2 linked regions of the Anolis sagrei genome follow. The protein of the gene in region 2 interacts with the protein of the main gene of each other region in a pairwise test. Links are inferred from orthologs where the notes say so. Each region holds a gene or a part of one and is shown on either strand. Other genes may lie near its edges.

The links.
Region 1: the proteins of MGAT5B (region 2) and PITX1 interact in a two-hybrid assay, tested with the Homo sapiens proteins (2 studies listed by BioGRID). The link is inferred for Anolis sagrei from reciprocal best matches to the Homo sapiens genes MGAT5B and PITX1.

Annotation. Positions count from the first base shown.
Region 1 is NC_090022.1:91,207,702-91,214,840, reverse strand, and holds the start of PITX1 (pituitary homeobox 1), read right to left. Parts: upstream 3,004-7,139; 5' UTR 2,748-3,003; intron 1-2,747. UniProt on the Homo sapiens protein: Sequence-specific transcription factor that binds gene promoters and activates their transcription. May play a role in the development of anterior structures, and in particular, the brain and facies and in specifying the identity or structure of hindlimb.
Region 2 is NC_090022.1:120,077,791-120,085,496, forward strand, and holds the start of MGAT5B (alpha-1,6-mannosylglycoprotein 6-beta-N-acetylglucosaminyltransferase B), read left to right. Parts: upstream 1-4,706; 5' UTR 4,707-5,455; coding exon 5,456-5,523; intron 5,524-7,706. UniProt on the Homo sapiens protein: Glycosyltransferase that acts on alpha-linked mannose of N-glycans and O-mannosyl glycans.

The DNA.
Region 1 (7,139 bases), about 29 Mb from region 2:
TGGCCATGCTCTAGAAGCATTCTCTCCTGACGTTTCGCCTCCATCTATGGCAAGCATCCTCAGAGGTTGTGAGGTCTTGTGTTTTATGGAGCCACAATTAAGGGCTCCACAATTAAGAGACTTCTCAACCTCTGATGATGCTTGCCATAGATGCAGGCGAAACGTCAGGAGAAAATGCTTCTAGAACATGGCCATATAGCCCAGTCCAGTATTTTTGATTTCCTATATACTTTATTGAAACGCTCACTTCCAGTTTCCTAGTTAGATTGAATATTTATTTCGGCTATTTTTTTTTAAAAGCATAATATTTTGAAGGTCTTTGAAAAATCAAACCATTTTTTCAGTCTCATTTTAAAAAATCATAAAATTATACAATTTTCGGGAAGGAAATAACCACAGAAAAGTCGTCTGAATAATAATAATAATAATAATAATAATAATAATTCATAAGACAGTTACATAAACTCTAGAGAAATACACCTGTAAAATATTAAGTGTGCAAGACTGGAATCCCTGGGAGAGAGATCTTGGGCACACGGAGCCTTCAGGATCAAGTAGCTGCGGCCATAAAAAGAACATCGAATTCCATAAAAAACAGAAGGTTTATGAGGGGCGTTGGGGCGTTGCTTGTCACCCGCATCCGCGGTGGGCAGGAGGAGGGTTGTGGTGGCTCGGCCCCACGCCGCCCGGGGCCCTTCCCTTCGCAGCCAGGCCAGAGAGGAGCCCGGCTCCGAGGGGCCTCTGCTGCCGGGAGGACTAGCCAGGCCGCACCCCCCCACTTCACCGCGGAAGGATATTTGCGGGCATATTTGTCAGATTTGACGAAGCGCAGGAGCCCTCGAGAATTTATACAAGGTATAAAGATGTCAAGGACTTGCAACTTCAAGGCTAAGCCCGGGACGCAATTAGGGGAGCCGCGCCGAAGACCCAAGGAGGAGGGGGGGGGCATGGGGAGAGGGAGGGGGCAACAGGGGATGTGGGGGGGGGGACTCAGGCCCACGGGCCACAGAAGGAGGAGAGAGGGAAGAAGAAGAAGAAAAAGAAAGAAAAGTTTTTTTCATACTTCATCACACTAGAGAATGAATCCACTTTAAATCCAGACACTGCCTCCTGCAAAATTCTAGGGTTTGTAGTTTAGTGAGGCTGTTAAAGGCCCCTCCCTAAATTACAAACCCCAGAATTCTGCAGGAAGCAGAAACCAGATTTAAAGTGATTCATTCTCTAGTGTGATGAGGTCTTGGAGCGACTTGAGAAGCTTCAAGTCGTTTCTGATGTGAGAGAATTGGCCGTCTGCAAGGGCCTTGCCCAGGGAAAACCGGATGTTTTACCATCCTGTGGGAGGCTTCTCTCATGTCCCCTCATGAGAAGTTGGAGCTGACAGACGGGAGCTCGCCCTACTCCCTATTGGAACCACCGAGAGGAAGATGATAATGAAGAAGAGGAAAAGGAGGAGAACAACAAAGCAGAAGAGGAATAGGAAAGGAGAGGAGAAAAAGAAATTGATGAAGAAGAGGGAGTAGAGGAGGAAGGGGAAGAGGAGGAAGGAAAACAAAGTAGTGAAGAGGAGAAAGAATAGGAAAAAATAGAAAGAAAAAAGGAAGAGGAGAAAGAAAAACGAGGAAGGAAAAAAAAGTGACGAAGAGGAGAAAGAAAATGAAAAATATAAAGGAAATAAGGAAGAAGCGGAAGAAAAAAGAGGACAAATAGGAAAAAGGGGAAGAAAAAGAAATGGACGAAGAAAAGGAAGAGGAAGAATAAGAATAGGGGGAAGGAAGAGAAATTGATGAAGAAGAGGAAGAAAATAAAAATATATAAAGAAAAGGATGAGAAGGAAGTGGATGAAGAAAAAAGAAAAGGATGACGCGAAGAGGCAGAAAATGAAGAAGAAAAGGAGGAGGAAGAAGAGGAAGAAAAAGAAAATGAAAAAGAGGAGAAGGAAAAAGATGGAAGACAAAGAAGAGGAATTCAGAGAAGTGAAAGTAGAAAAGAAAAAAAGAAAACACTAACAAGAAGCGGAATAGGAGGAGGAAGAAAAAGAAAATGAGGACGGAAAAGAGAAAGAAAACAGAAAAGAGGACAGATAGGAAAAGGAGGGGGGAAAAGCAAACGAAGAAAAAAAAGAGAGAAGAAAACGGAAAAGCAGAGAAAGAAGAGGAGGGGGAGAAAATAAATTAGTGAAGAAGAAGAAAGGAAGGAGGATGACAATGAAAACTAAAAAAAAAGAAGGAATCGGGAGAGGGAAAAAAAAGTAACGGATGAAGAAGAGGAAGGGAAGGAGGCAGACCAAGAGGAATAAAGGGAGGAGGGGCAAGAAGAGGAGGAAGAAAAAAAAAGATCTGAAAAGAAGAGAAGGAAGAATATGAAGGACAAGAAGAAGAAGAAAAAGTAAACGAAGCGGAGGAAAAGAAGAAGAGCAAAAGGAAGGAGAGGAAGTAGAAAAGGATTTCCCCGGTTCTTGGCAGGAGATGGATAAGAAGGCTCACCCCCTCGAAGTGGGGGACGGGGCACTGCCCTCTAGGGCTGAGGCGGAAGGTTCAGGGTGTGTGTGTGTGTGTGTGAGGGGAGTGACCAGGAAGAGAGAGAGAAGGGGGCTTCCTGTCCGAGACGGGGATGCTGGGGAGTCACGCGGGAGCCTGTTTCCCCCGCGGCCTCCCGCCCGCACCCTCGAGGGAGCCGTATCGCGCGCTCTCTGGGCTTGGAGGACAGGGCTGGAAGGACCCCCCCCCCACCACACGCTTCCCACTCACCCCTCAGGTCTTGAGTCCGAGAGACGCGCGTGGCTTACCCTAGCCTCCTTCGCGGGTCCCGGCCGAGATGGGCGGATAAGGGCCACGCCGGGGGAAAAGTGGTCTTTTCTCAGCGAGCGCCCAGAGTGGGCTCCATGGGCCCCCCGAGGCTTTTGCAGGCTTTGAAGACGTTCGGGTGTCTTTGGGTGCCCAGCCGTGGAGGGTGGCCCTTTGGCCCCGGCGTAGGGCGTGGAGCAGGTCCGTGGTGCTCTGTGCGCGGCGGCGGGGGCGGGACGGGGCCCTGGGCTTTTCCCCGGCGGAGAGCCGCTTCTGACGTCACTCCCCCTGGCACCGCGACGCCGTCGAGTCAGGAAACCGGGGCGGGTTTTCTCAGCGCGTGCGAGTGGGGAAGGGGCAAAGGCGAGGGCAGGCCTGGGCGCGCGGAGTGCCCCCGCCCTCTCGCGAGCTGGGAAAGCAAGGGGAGGCAGGCAGGTTGGCCTCGGAGCATCCCGACGGCCTCCCTCTGCGCGCGGCCTGCCGCTTTCCAAGAGCGCGCGCCCCTCGCCTTGCGCTCCTCTGCTCTCCTCCACTCGGCCTCCTCTCTCTTCCCAATCAAGCCCCCTCTCCATCGCAGCCCGGGCTACAAATTGGCTGCCCGGCTTCCTTTCCCCTCGGGGCGCCCCCCGGCCCCCCCCCCCTTGCCTCGCCATGGCCAGGGACAGCCCCATTAGCATCCCCTTCCCGAGGCCAGGAAGAGGCGCAGGGACCTGGCGAACAAGGGAAATGGGAGGGGAGGGCGACCTCCCGTCTCTCTCAACAGAGCAAGGGCTTGCCATCTACTGAGGCCTAATGGGCGAGGACTGGGAGGAGAGGCCTGGGATTTCATTCCCACTGAGAAGGAAGAGCAGAGAGGCTCCGATGCACACCCCCCCTCCCCCGCTCTTCGCTAGGTTCATTTCCTTCCAGAGGAGCCCTGGACTCCACGAAGCTGCACCCACACTCTAGATCAGGCCCGAGCCAACTTCGGTCCTCCAGGTGTTTTGGACTTGAACTCCCACGATCCCTAAAACCAGTAGGCAGCCCCAAACATGAATCAAGGAACACGAAAGGCACTGCAGACTCGCTCAACCAGAGAAGTCAGCCATAGCAGAGCACCTGATGAACCAACCTGGACACAGAAATACTGGACCACTCTAATAACTGCCATATCAGACTACACAGAGAAGCCACTGAAATCCATAAGCATGTGGACAAGTTCAAAGGAAGAAACCATGAAAATGAACAAAATCTGGCTACCATTATTTAAAACTCCAAAATTGTAACAGTAAATAAAGAATAAATAAATAAACAACATTCAAAAACAGGGGAGCTCCAGACAAGAAACAATCATGGACAGCTAATCATCTCTCAACAAAGGATTCCCCCAGGAAGTAAGAAGCCACACCTTGAAAGTGCTAGGCCATTAAATGCTAATCAAGGTGTCCAATTGAAACATTCACATTGCCTCAAGCAGACAAGAGATCTTTCTCCCACCTTGGACATTCCACAGATATATAAACGCCATTTGAAGATGTCTGCCGTAGATGCAGGCAAAATGTCAGGAGAGAAAACTTCTAGAACATGGCCCTACAGCCCAGAAAACTTACAACCACCCAGTGATTCCAGCCATGAGAGCCTTCAACAATACATTCCTAACAGCTGTTAGGAATTGTTGGAGTTGAAGTTCAAAACACCCAGAGGGCCGAAGTTGGCCCATGCCTGCTGTAGAGTGAATGTGGTTTGACTGCCATGGCTCAATTCTATGGAAGTGTGAGACGTATTGTTTGGTACCCCCGCCATTCCATAGCATTGAGCCATGGTGGTTCAAGTGGTGTCAAACTGTATTTGTTCTTTGAAGCTGCAAGGCCATTCAATGCTAATAGAGTTCGCCCATTGCAACATTCACACTTGCCTCTAACAGACAAGAGTTCTTTCTCCCACCCTGGACATTCCACAGATATATAAACCCCACTTGCCTAGTTTCCAACAGACCTCACAATCTCTGAGGATGCCTGCCATAGATGTGGGCGAAATGTCAGAAGAGAATGCTTCTGGAACATGGCATTGTCCCTTTAACTTGGCATTGCCTTTGAAAACCCAATCCACATGGTCTTTCTTGTTCAAAGTATTGCTTCTAAGCTGATGGAAGGAATAGCAGACTTCTGTTTTGTATGTAAATACCACACCCTTTAGTTTCCCCAGATTTAGGATTTTGGGGAGTTTGGGGAGATGGGGGAGGAATCAAAAGGATCAAGACTAGAAGTTTCCTGTGCCTGATGGCCATAGGTCTGCCCTGATTTGCCCTGATTCTCTCCCCATTCCTGTCATAGATGACAGGAGAGAAATGTCAGGAGAGAAAGCTTCCAGAATATGGCTATACAATCCAAAAAAAATTATTTATTTATTTATTTCCCACATTTCTAATCCGCCCTTTTCAACCCCCAAGGGGGAACTCAGGGCGGCTTACACCGGCAACAATTTGATGGCACAAGATAATACAGATATAAACAAATATAACAACAGTTTAAAAGAGTAAATAGAACATTAAGTTAAAAACACATAAAAAACTTTGTCATCAATCCATATTGCCAATTCCAGTCTGATTCAACATCTAAAGTGCTGTCATTCTTGCTGTCCAAAGGCCTGGTCCTGGAACCATGATTTAACCTTCTTTCTGAAAGAAAGGAGGGAAGATGCCAACCTGATCTCGCTGGGGAGCGGGTTCCACAGGCGTGGGGCCACCGCCAAGAAGGTTCTGTCTCGTCCCCGCCAAGTGCACTTGTGGGACCTCCAAAGCTTGCACACAATCTGATTAATTCTCATAAAGATATGGTTCCATTTTGAGTTTTGGATTTGTAATGAATTTGAGAACAAAGTTGCACATCCAAGCCATTTTTGGTTTGGTTGTTCTTATCCATTGCCAGAGCCTATAGGCTAATAGTACACACAGATCCTAAGTATTTGCTAGGCAGTGGCCCCACTGAACTCAGTGAGATTAATTTTGGAGTAAACATGTTTAGGAATGTATGCCAAGCTAAATTATCCAAGGACTAATCTTGTCTACAAGTCATTTAATTAAAAATGGATTTCAAACAATTATATTATTACCACCAGAGTCACTGTGTTGACCATTATGCAGATAGCCTACAGACTGGTTAAACAGATACCCGTTTCAGCAACCAAAATCCATTTAACCATGCTTCTAATATTCCCTTTGAAATAAATGGGATTTAAATCAGTCATCACTAGCCTGAATTCCACTGCTTTCAGCAGATCTGTTCAAAGTATGCTCTCCATACAGCTCCATCATGTGGAGACTGAGCCCTTCCACTAATCCAACTGGATTCAGTGTGTATGCTAAAATACTGGAACATTAGTGATACTACATTCGTAATTTAGTAATATGATGATGAATTAGTTAGATAAAAATTTAATTAGAAACCTCCACCATGTGTGCAATTGTCCTTTTTTAAAAAGAAATATCAATAATAATAATAAAAAGAAACCTCCACCATTCTAATGGATTTACATTAGAGATATTATTTCAGTGGTCTGCACTCAGCCGAGAAATTATAAATTTAAACTGACTTCAAAAAAATGAAGTTAAGGCGGCTGGCAATGCTTAGTAGTAGGATGAAAATGAGTTTTAGAAGGCAGTTCTGTACACATTGTAGTTTACCTACATCCAGAGAGCATTGTGGACTCAAACGATGATGGATCTGGACCAAACTTGGCACGAATACTCAAAATGCCCAAATGTGAATACTGATGGAGTTTGGGGAAAATAGATCTTGGTAGTTGTAGTTGATGGGATTTACAATTCACCTACAATCAAAGAGCATTCTGAAATCCACCAACGATAGAATTGGGCCAAACTTCCCACACAGAACCCCCATGACCAACAGAAAAATACTGTGTTTTCAATGGTCTTTGGTGACCCCTCTGACACCCCCCAGGGATCCAGACCCCCAGGTTGAGAAACACTGATTTAAATGAACTTGAATGACTACCAACTGCAGTTTTACCCTAACAAGTAATAAATTATATTGAAGCAGCAAAATAAATATATAGAATGAAATGGTGGAAAGGAAGTTGTTATGATATAAAATACATAAAAGTTTAGGGTAAAGGTTTCTCCTTGACATTAAGTCTAGTTGAGTCCGACTCTGGGGGGTGATGAATATCTCAATTTCTTAGCTGAAGAGCCAGCGTTGTCAGTAGGTCATGTGGCTAGCATGACTGGAGCACTGTTACCTTCCCTATTGAAGCTGTGCCTGTTGATCTACTCACATTTGCATGTTTTTGAACTGCTGGGATGGCAGAAGCTGGGACTAACAGAAGGAGCTCACCCCATCCCATGGATTTAAACTGCCA
Region 2 (7,706 bases):
AAACATGCACACATTTCAGAAATCTATGAGTGACATGTTTTGCTATGTTCCTCAATCTGTTTTAGTGCTATGCTTGTGATGGCCAAACAAGATGTTATTGTGGCAAATACATGCCCTCTTTCACTTTTCTCCATTCATACCTCATCTGGAAATGAAGTGAAAAATAGAGGGATGTAAGCAGCAAGCAAATGGCTCCAGGAAGGATGATGCGGCCTGGTGTGTGTGTTTGTGTGGGTAAGACCTTCTCCCTACTCTACTTTTTATATTTGAATGGGAGAGATATGAGAATAATGTTATGCAGTTTCACCTTATGTAGCTTCTCTGCGTATTACTAGCCATTCCTTTAATAATCACTATTCACAATGTTGAGTTATAACCATTCTTCTTTGGACACCTTCTCATCATTCTCCAATCTTGCTCAACCTGTTCTCCAGAGTCATAGTCCCAACACTCAAACCACTCTGCCATGCTGGCTCCACTTATATAGTACATTGCCCTATAACCAGTATATCTGCTGACTTGGAAGGTGCTGAACAGACTGCACTCTGGCACCCTGAGATGCAGAGCCAGCCTTAAGAAATGGGGCTACAAAGTGGAATCCACAACCCGTGGGTGTGGAGAAGAGCAAATCACAGACCACCTATTACAATGCAGACCACCTATTACAATGTGGGCCCTGCCACATGCACAATGAAGGACCTTCTTATAGCAACACCAGAGGCACACCAGAGGTCAGCTATTGGCCAAAGGACATTTAGTGTATTGCCAAGTTTTTAAAACGTTGTTTGGGTTTTTAAATACATTACAACTGTACTCTCAATTTGCTTCTTACATGATAAATAAATAAATGCTGAAAGGTAAACCATCCTGAGCTAATTGGGACTTTGTCCCTGCTAGGCTTTTATTGGATTTCAGCCTTTGAATGTGCTTGGTTGAAGACAGAGAACTTTCTCACACCTAATAGGAAGGGTTTCATTGCCTCACTTGTGAAATTATTGAGCAATCTGAAAGATCTGGTCCAGAGCAATGATGGTTAGAGTTGCTAATTGTCAGGGATGGATGCCTTATTCATGCTCCTAGCTCCTTCACAGCAGTGAGAACTCACTCCTCTCTGGCACGAAGGAGGAAGGATATCCTGGCATGGCCTGCTCCCAGCAGGGGGGAGATGGGCTCACTATCACAAACCCAAAGTGTTTCTTTCCAGCAGAGCCTGTCAAATGTCTCCATTAACACATCCCTCAACTTTTCTTGCCCTTCAGCTGCTGCTCCAGGGAGTTTCTTTAATGGCTGTTTTGATTCTTTATGTTGTTTGAAAGTAGAGGCTACTTTTCAGATATTTGAGAAGGTCCTATCTGTTTTAATGTAAGCCAATTGCATCTCCTCCCTCTCCCTCCTTCTCTGGTAAGCTCTGCCAAAAAGTCCCAGTCCTTTAATTTCCAAACAAAAAAAAAAAACCCAAAACAAAACAAAAACTGTTTTCAGGTTTTCCTTCATACTCATACATCACAACTTGGAAGTTCTGTATAAAGAAAAACTGATAAAATTTTTGATACTAAGGGACTAGGTATTCAGACTGAATATTGTGAAAAGGGTCATTGCTAGCTGAACCCTGAAAACAAAACAGGGTGCATAATACCAAGGAAAAAATAAGGGAGAAAACATCAAGGGCTGATGCAAAAAAAAAAAAAAAAGAATTTTATGTGCTAAAGGCAATATTTCACCTTCAATGGCACCATAGCATGTAGAGCAGTAGGAAAAGAGGAAAACCACATTTTAGAGGGATAAACTGAATTACAGAAGTAATGGCTGCCCTCAGTCTGCAAGACCCGCACAGTCTGTTGATGATAGCCTAACTTGAAGGTCTGCCATTCATGGAGCCAGCACAAATGAAAGCCATCTTGATAGTAGTTAACAACAGTGGAAAACTAAATGCTGGTTGTTGCTCAAGTGTCAGTGGAGCTATCCAGAAAGTTGAATCCTATCTACAAAAAAAGTCAGCATTTTTGAGATCCTCATGAACTGAAACCTGGATCATTTTTCCTACTACCCTGTCTTAAGGGTGTGTTTTTACTTTAATTATTACAGCAATATCCTGAGAAATTCTGGGATTTGTAGTTTAGGGAAAATTATGTTACAAAGTGCTCTAGTGAATCTCCAATCTACAAATTCTACTGTTTCATAGGATGATACCATGGCATCTAAAGTAGAATTGTAATACTATAATTATGTAGTGGAATGGGAGACCGTAACTAGATTAACTGCCCTGCTGAGGTGTCAGCCACCAGCCACCACTTGCATGAATGATTTTTAAAAAAATGCAGGTTATTTGAAAGTGAACCATGTCAAGGTTTTAACTGGTGTATAAGTTACTAGGTGGCATCAACTATTGCCCAAGTTCACAATATGTAACTGACGACAGCAATAATACACCAGATTTCTTCTAAAAATTCAATGCACTGAATAATAATAATAATAATATATTGTCACACCCTTTCAAATATTTAAACATGGCAAACATGTCCCCTCTCTTTAATTCAGAGATTTTATCTGGAGTACTGAGATATAAATCTCAGTACTCAGTACTCAGTACTCAGTTTCTTGATACAAGGCCCCATCTCTGTATGAATAGATGAGCAAACAGGGCAAAGGAAGCAAGTGAATCAGTGATGATTAACTTGTTTTCATGGCATCCCAAATAAGAAGCATACAGTTTATAATATCCGAGGCAGGAATAAGAGGTTCTGGAATCCTTATTACTTGGAGGAAGGGCACTATCACATGGGGAATACAAATGCATCCATGCATTGCCATGTGAGTATGTTGGAGCAAGAAAGTGAAACATGTGGGCTGTATGTGTCTTCCAAACCTCCCTTGCTTTTGCAGACTTTTCAGCTTATTTATTTTTAAAAATATAAATTGTATTTGTTGCCAATGAGGAGGGAAGCTTACCAAATATATGTTATCCTTCCTTTGTCTCCTTACCTGAAACATTTTTGCAGTGCTACCACTGACAGGTAAGTAAAAGCCTATAGGATCATACTGAACAAACGCTCCTTCCTTCTGTCTGGTGTGCTATTGTGAGCTGTGGACATCCTTGAAAGGTTTTGGAACTGCCATCAGAGCCCGAGTGCCCTTAATAGAAATCAATTTGCATGCAACATTCCTCAGTTCACATTCAATGGCTAATCAAGGTTTTGTGAACTACAACATTTCTTTGCTCAGGACAGCTGAAAGGAGAAAAAGGAAGGATTTGAAACTGAAAATAATTGGGAGGAACCGATCTATCCTCACTCAGGACGTGAGCTGTGTGCATGAGAAGGAGAGATGGATCTAATGTCAAGGGTGGCATATATGCACATTCTGAAATGTGGTAGATTCTTATGATGACAGTCCCTCTGGGTTCTCCAAGGAGAGTCCCAGAATGCAAGCAGTTATATTGATCCATCCCAATGAGCCAGTTCCCCCAGTTTGCCTTCCCATTAGGTGGTCTTTTGTAAAGGTCTTAACATTTAATGGTTCCAGAGAAAGTGGCAATAAAAGGCTTACATTAGAGCAAAAGTGGCTCACAACAATAGATTTTTGCTAGGGAAATCAATGTTTTCCCCTCACAGCCCAGTTTAGCTCAGAGGAAAGAGCAAAATCCAAATACAGATGTGGAAAGGATCAGGTGATGCCATGGTCCCTGATGGACTTTCAGCCCTGCAAGGCCTGGCTCACTACATACACACTGCTTCTGTCAAAATAGCTTGACAATACTGGAGCCCTTAATTGTGCTGTTGTAGGCATGCCTGAGTGCCATCTGGGAAGGGAAGAGGCCTGACTGAGAGTTATAGCTGTGAAAGAGTGGAAAATGAGTGCCTTGCCTCCCAGATAAGGATTCTACCCTCCGCAGGGAAGTTTATGCACTTATTTATTGACTGCATTTTTATTTCAGCATAAGGACTCAAGGTGGTTAACAGCAAACATGATGCAATGTAAACTAAAAATAAAGCTAATGTATTAAAATATGAATATAAAAGATAAACCAATTAAATATTTTGTGTCATGAGGCATATAAATTAAAATACAATTAAAATACCATAAAAACTACATAGCACCCTCTCCCCAAATCCCACTCACACCATTCCCAGCAGCCTGCCCCTCACCTTTCCCTAAATGCCTGATGGCAGAGATACATTTTCACCTGCCTATGAAAGACAAGCAGGGATGAGGCTCTCTTGGGCCCTTCCACACAGCCCTATATCCCAGAATATCAAGGTAGAAAATCCCACATTATTTGAGTGTGGACTATCAGTTCACAATAGATATTGTGGGATTTTCTGCCCTGATATTCTGAGAAATAGAATTGACTAGGCTGGCTAGGGTTTCTGGGTATTGTAGTTCAGCAAAATTAACAAATGCTGATTCCCGTTCTTGTACAAAGGCAGCGGTTCTCAACCTGTAGGTCCCCAGGTGTTTTGGCCTACAACTTCCAGAAATCTCAGCCAGTTTACCAACTGTTAAGATTTCTGGGAGTTGAAGGCCAAAATATCTGGGGACCCACAGGTTGAGAAACACTGGGCTAAGGCAGGCTGTGCAGGCCCAGGAAATGGCTTTCAGGTGTGCTCTGCTTCTCAGCTCTTGGACAGCTCCTCTTTTGCAGCACTAAAAGCCAAATGCAACAGATGATCCCAACCGTTCCCACTAGATGGCATCCAATTCATATTGCACAAGGAAGCTGATGCTGCTTCTCCTCCTCCACCGAATCCTGACTCTGAGCAGTGCATCCTTCCCCGATAGAAACAATGCAGCCCGTTCACAAGGTTAAAGCAGAATGTTTTGGCTGGCCAAGAAGATGCGAGGCAGTTGTTGGACCGGGATGGAGGAGCTGTGCCCTTTAACCACTGTATCTCCGGCTGTGACTGGGAGTCTGCTCTCAACGAGGAAATAAGCCCTGGAAATGGCATCTACCTGGCAGTGCTGAAGCTCGCCTGGAGAAGGAAAGGAGCAAACGTTTGCTGTGGGGGTTCAATTGAGGTGTATGCTGAAAGAGAGAGAAGGAAGTAACTGGCTGGGATGAAGGATCTCACCCATAGAGGAGTCTCTGAACCCAGGCATTTTTCACCTGAATTGAGGATTTAATATCTGGAGAAAAGGGGTGTTGTGTTTGCTTCAATTTGCTTCCAAAATGTGACTAAAGCCAATACTACACCATTCAGTCATCTTCTGTCTTTGCTCATACCTGTTTCTCCTACAGCTGAAATCCATTAAGAGAAAAACCACACAAGCAGACTGCCCAGGAGGGAAACGAAGATCTCATTTGCTTTATTTATGTGGATTTATTGTGCAAATTTGATATTCCTTTTCTTCACGTGTTGCTGAGAGTCTCCAGCTATGTACTCTTTGAAATAACTGTGGTCAGACTCATGAAATACTGGCTGTGTTTTTAATTTTTTTCTGAAACAAAGTTTGAACAATGATTACAGTGAATTCAGATGGGAAAATAATGGTCAGAAGATGTCTTGTCACCCTAAAGCCTTTTAGGTAAAGTTCTCCTGTTTTGCTTCACGCTGATGTAGAGCTTGGAAGGAAATGGAGAAAACTTCCTTATTGTGTGATGTGTGCCAACCTTTTGTTGCCTAAGGGGAGAGAGCTCATTTGAAGTCTGTAAAAGAAGTGGGTTTGTTTTGACTTCACCTGAACGTAGGTGGTTGAATGCCTTGCCGTGGTGGCATCCTGCTGGAATTGCTGAGGGCTAGTTTCTTGGAGTAAATAGTTACTATTTCATGTTGAGACTTGTAGATAAGAGGTTTATGTGGTTTTTTAAATCTTGTAAATGCACCTTAGATACATTGTTCTAAGTTAACTGCTCTCCATAAAATAACTCCAGGTCCATACTGCTTCCATTCTCAATGGGTTCCAGGAATTTCAGTTTCTCCTTGCTGCTATATTCAACCTGTGGGTCCCCAGATGTTTTGGCCTTCAACTCCCAGAAATCCCAACAGCTGGTAAATTGGCTGGGATTTCTGGAAGTAGAAGGACAAAATATCTGGGGACCCACAGGTTGAGAACCACTGGTTATGGTTTTCCCCTCACAAAAGAAATTGCTTGCATGACTCCAGTTTACTATTGTAGTCTGTGTATGTTCTAAGGTAGTGTTCACATGGGGAAGGCTGTGATGGTGAAGTGGTCTAATAGGCCAACTCAGATTGATTTAAGGATCAAACCATTGGTGAAGATAACATGAGAGTAAGTCACAGCTGCTTCTCATTTTATAGTATCTTAAGGTAAAGGTTGTCCCCTGACATTAAGTCCAGTCATGTCTGACTCTGGGGTGTGGTGCTCATCTCCATTTCTAAGCCGAAGAGCTGGTGTTGTCTGTAGACACCTCCAAGGTCATGTGGCCGGCATGACTGCATGGAGTGCCGTTATAGTATCATAGTTTCCCACTATAAGTAGGTTCCCAGTTTAAGAAATAGCCATAGACAGTAAATAAAAATGCAGACAGAAGGTAGTGATTTCCAATAGGAGTAAATGGAAAAGTTATTGTTTTGTATTACAACTCTCAAAGTTTCCTAAGCAGCGTGGCCACTGGCCATTTTGGCATGGGCTTATGTTTTTCTGAGAGTTATACAGGTAGTCCCCAAGTTACACACATGATCATTTCTGTAGGTTTGTTCTTTAGTTGAATTTGTATGTAAGTTGAGACAGGTATATTTTTAAGTGTAAGTCTCTCTCTCTCTATATGTGTGTGTGTGTGTGTGTGTGCGCGTGCATACTTTGGGTAGCATAGGGAAGGGTTAACACCCCTGTGGTGTTTGTTTTGCTGCCTGTGTTTCAGTTCAAAAAAAATTCACTTCACTTTCTGTCCCTGTTATCATTGAATTTTGCAATATTTGGCTTGTTATGGAAACAAGGATTGGTAAGAAAGCTTCATGATGACTCTTCCAGGAGTGAATTTCCTTTCCTAGGGGTGGATTTTTTTCACTTCCTGTGGTCTCAGCTCAACTATTAATTATGAATCATTTGTAAGCCGGATGTTTCTAACTTAGGATCTTGCTGTAGTCCATGGAAGTGACTATTCCAAGCTCTTATCTTTGTCTTCTTGGAAGTAAGTTTCATTGACCTGTGGTACCATTGCCCAAATGAGACATGATGAAGGAGACTCATGTTTGTTGGTGTGTTGATAACATTCAAATCCATTTTACAGCTCGATTATACTTAAAACATTTTGAATTTCTGTTTGTAAAAGCAATAGCAACAGCAAACCATTTTTTTTGTAGTGGGGAAATGGTGCTAAAGGGACAAGATGTTTAGTCCTTTTCTGCACCCTGCTTTTCCCCACCAAAAATTGCCCATTTGAAGCTACCCAGCCAGAGAATCTATAAATGGGGGAATCTAAGCCTGAGCTCATGCTAAACCAATTATGTTTATTTGATGTAAGTTTGGCCATAAGGCTAAAACTGTCTTTTTAGCTGTGGCTACCTGGAACGTTTTCCTCAGGCAGGTGTCAACTGCCAGTTCTGGGGTACCAGGCAAATGCCCAGCTATTTCTACATGTCATGTAAGTTTCCTTGTTTCTGTTTTGTTCTCTTATGGGTTTATTTGAATTTAGGGCAGCCAGTTATGGTGGGTCCCCTGGGGACAGTCTTGGGGCCACATGGAGTGTTAAAATGCCAAATAAATAAATAATCAGACCTGGAAGTGACTAGAAGGCTCCTCTGGGA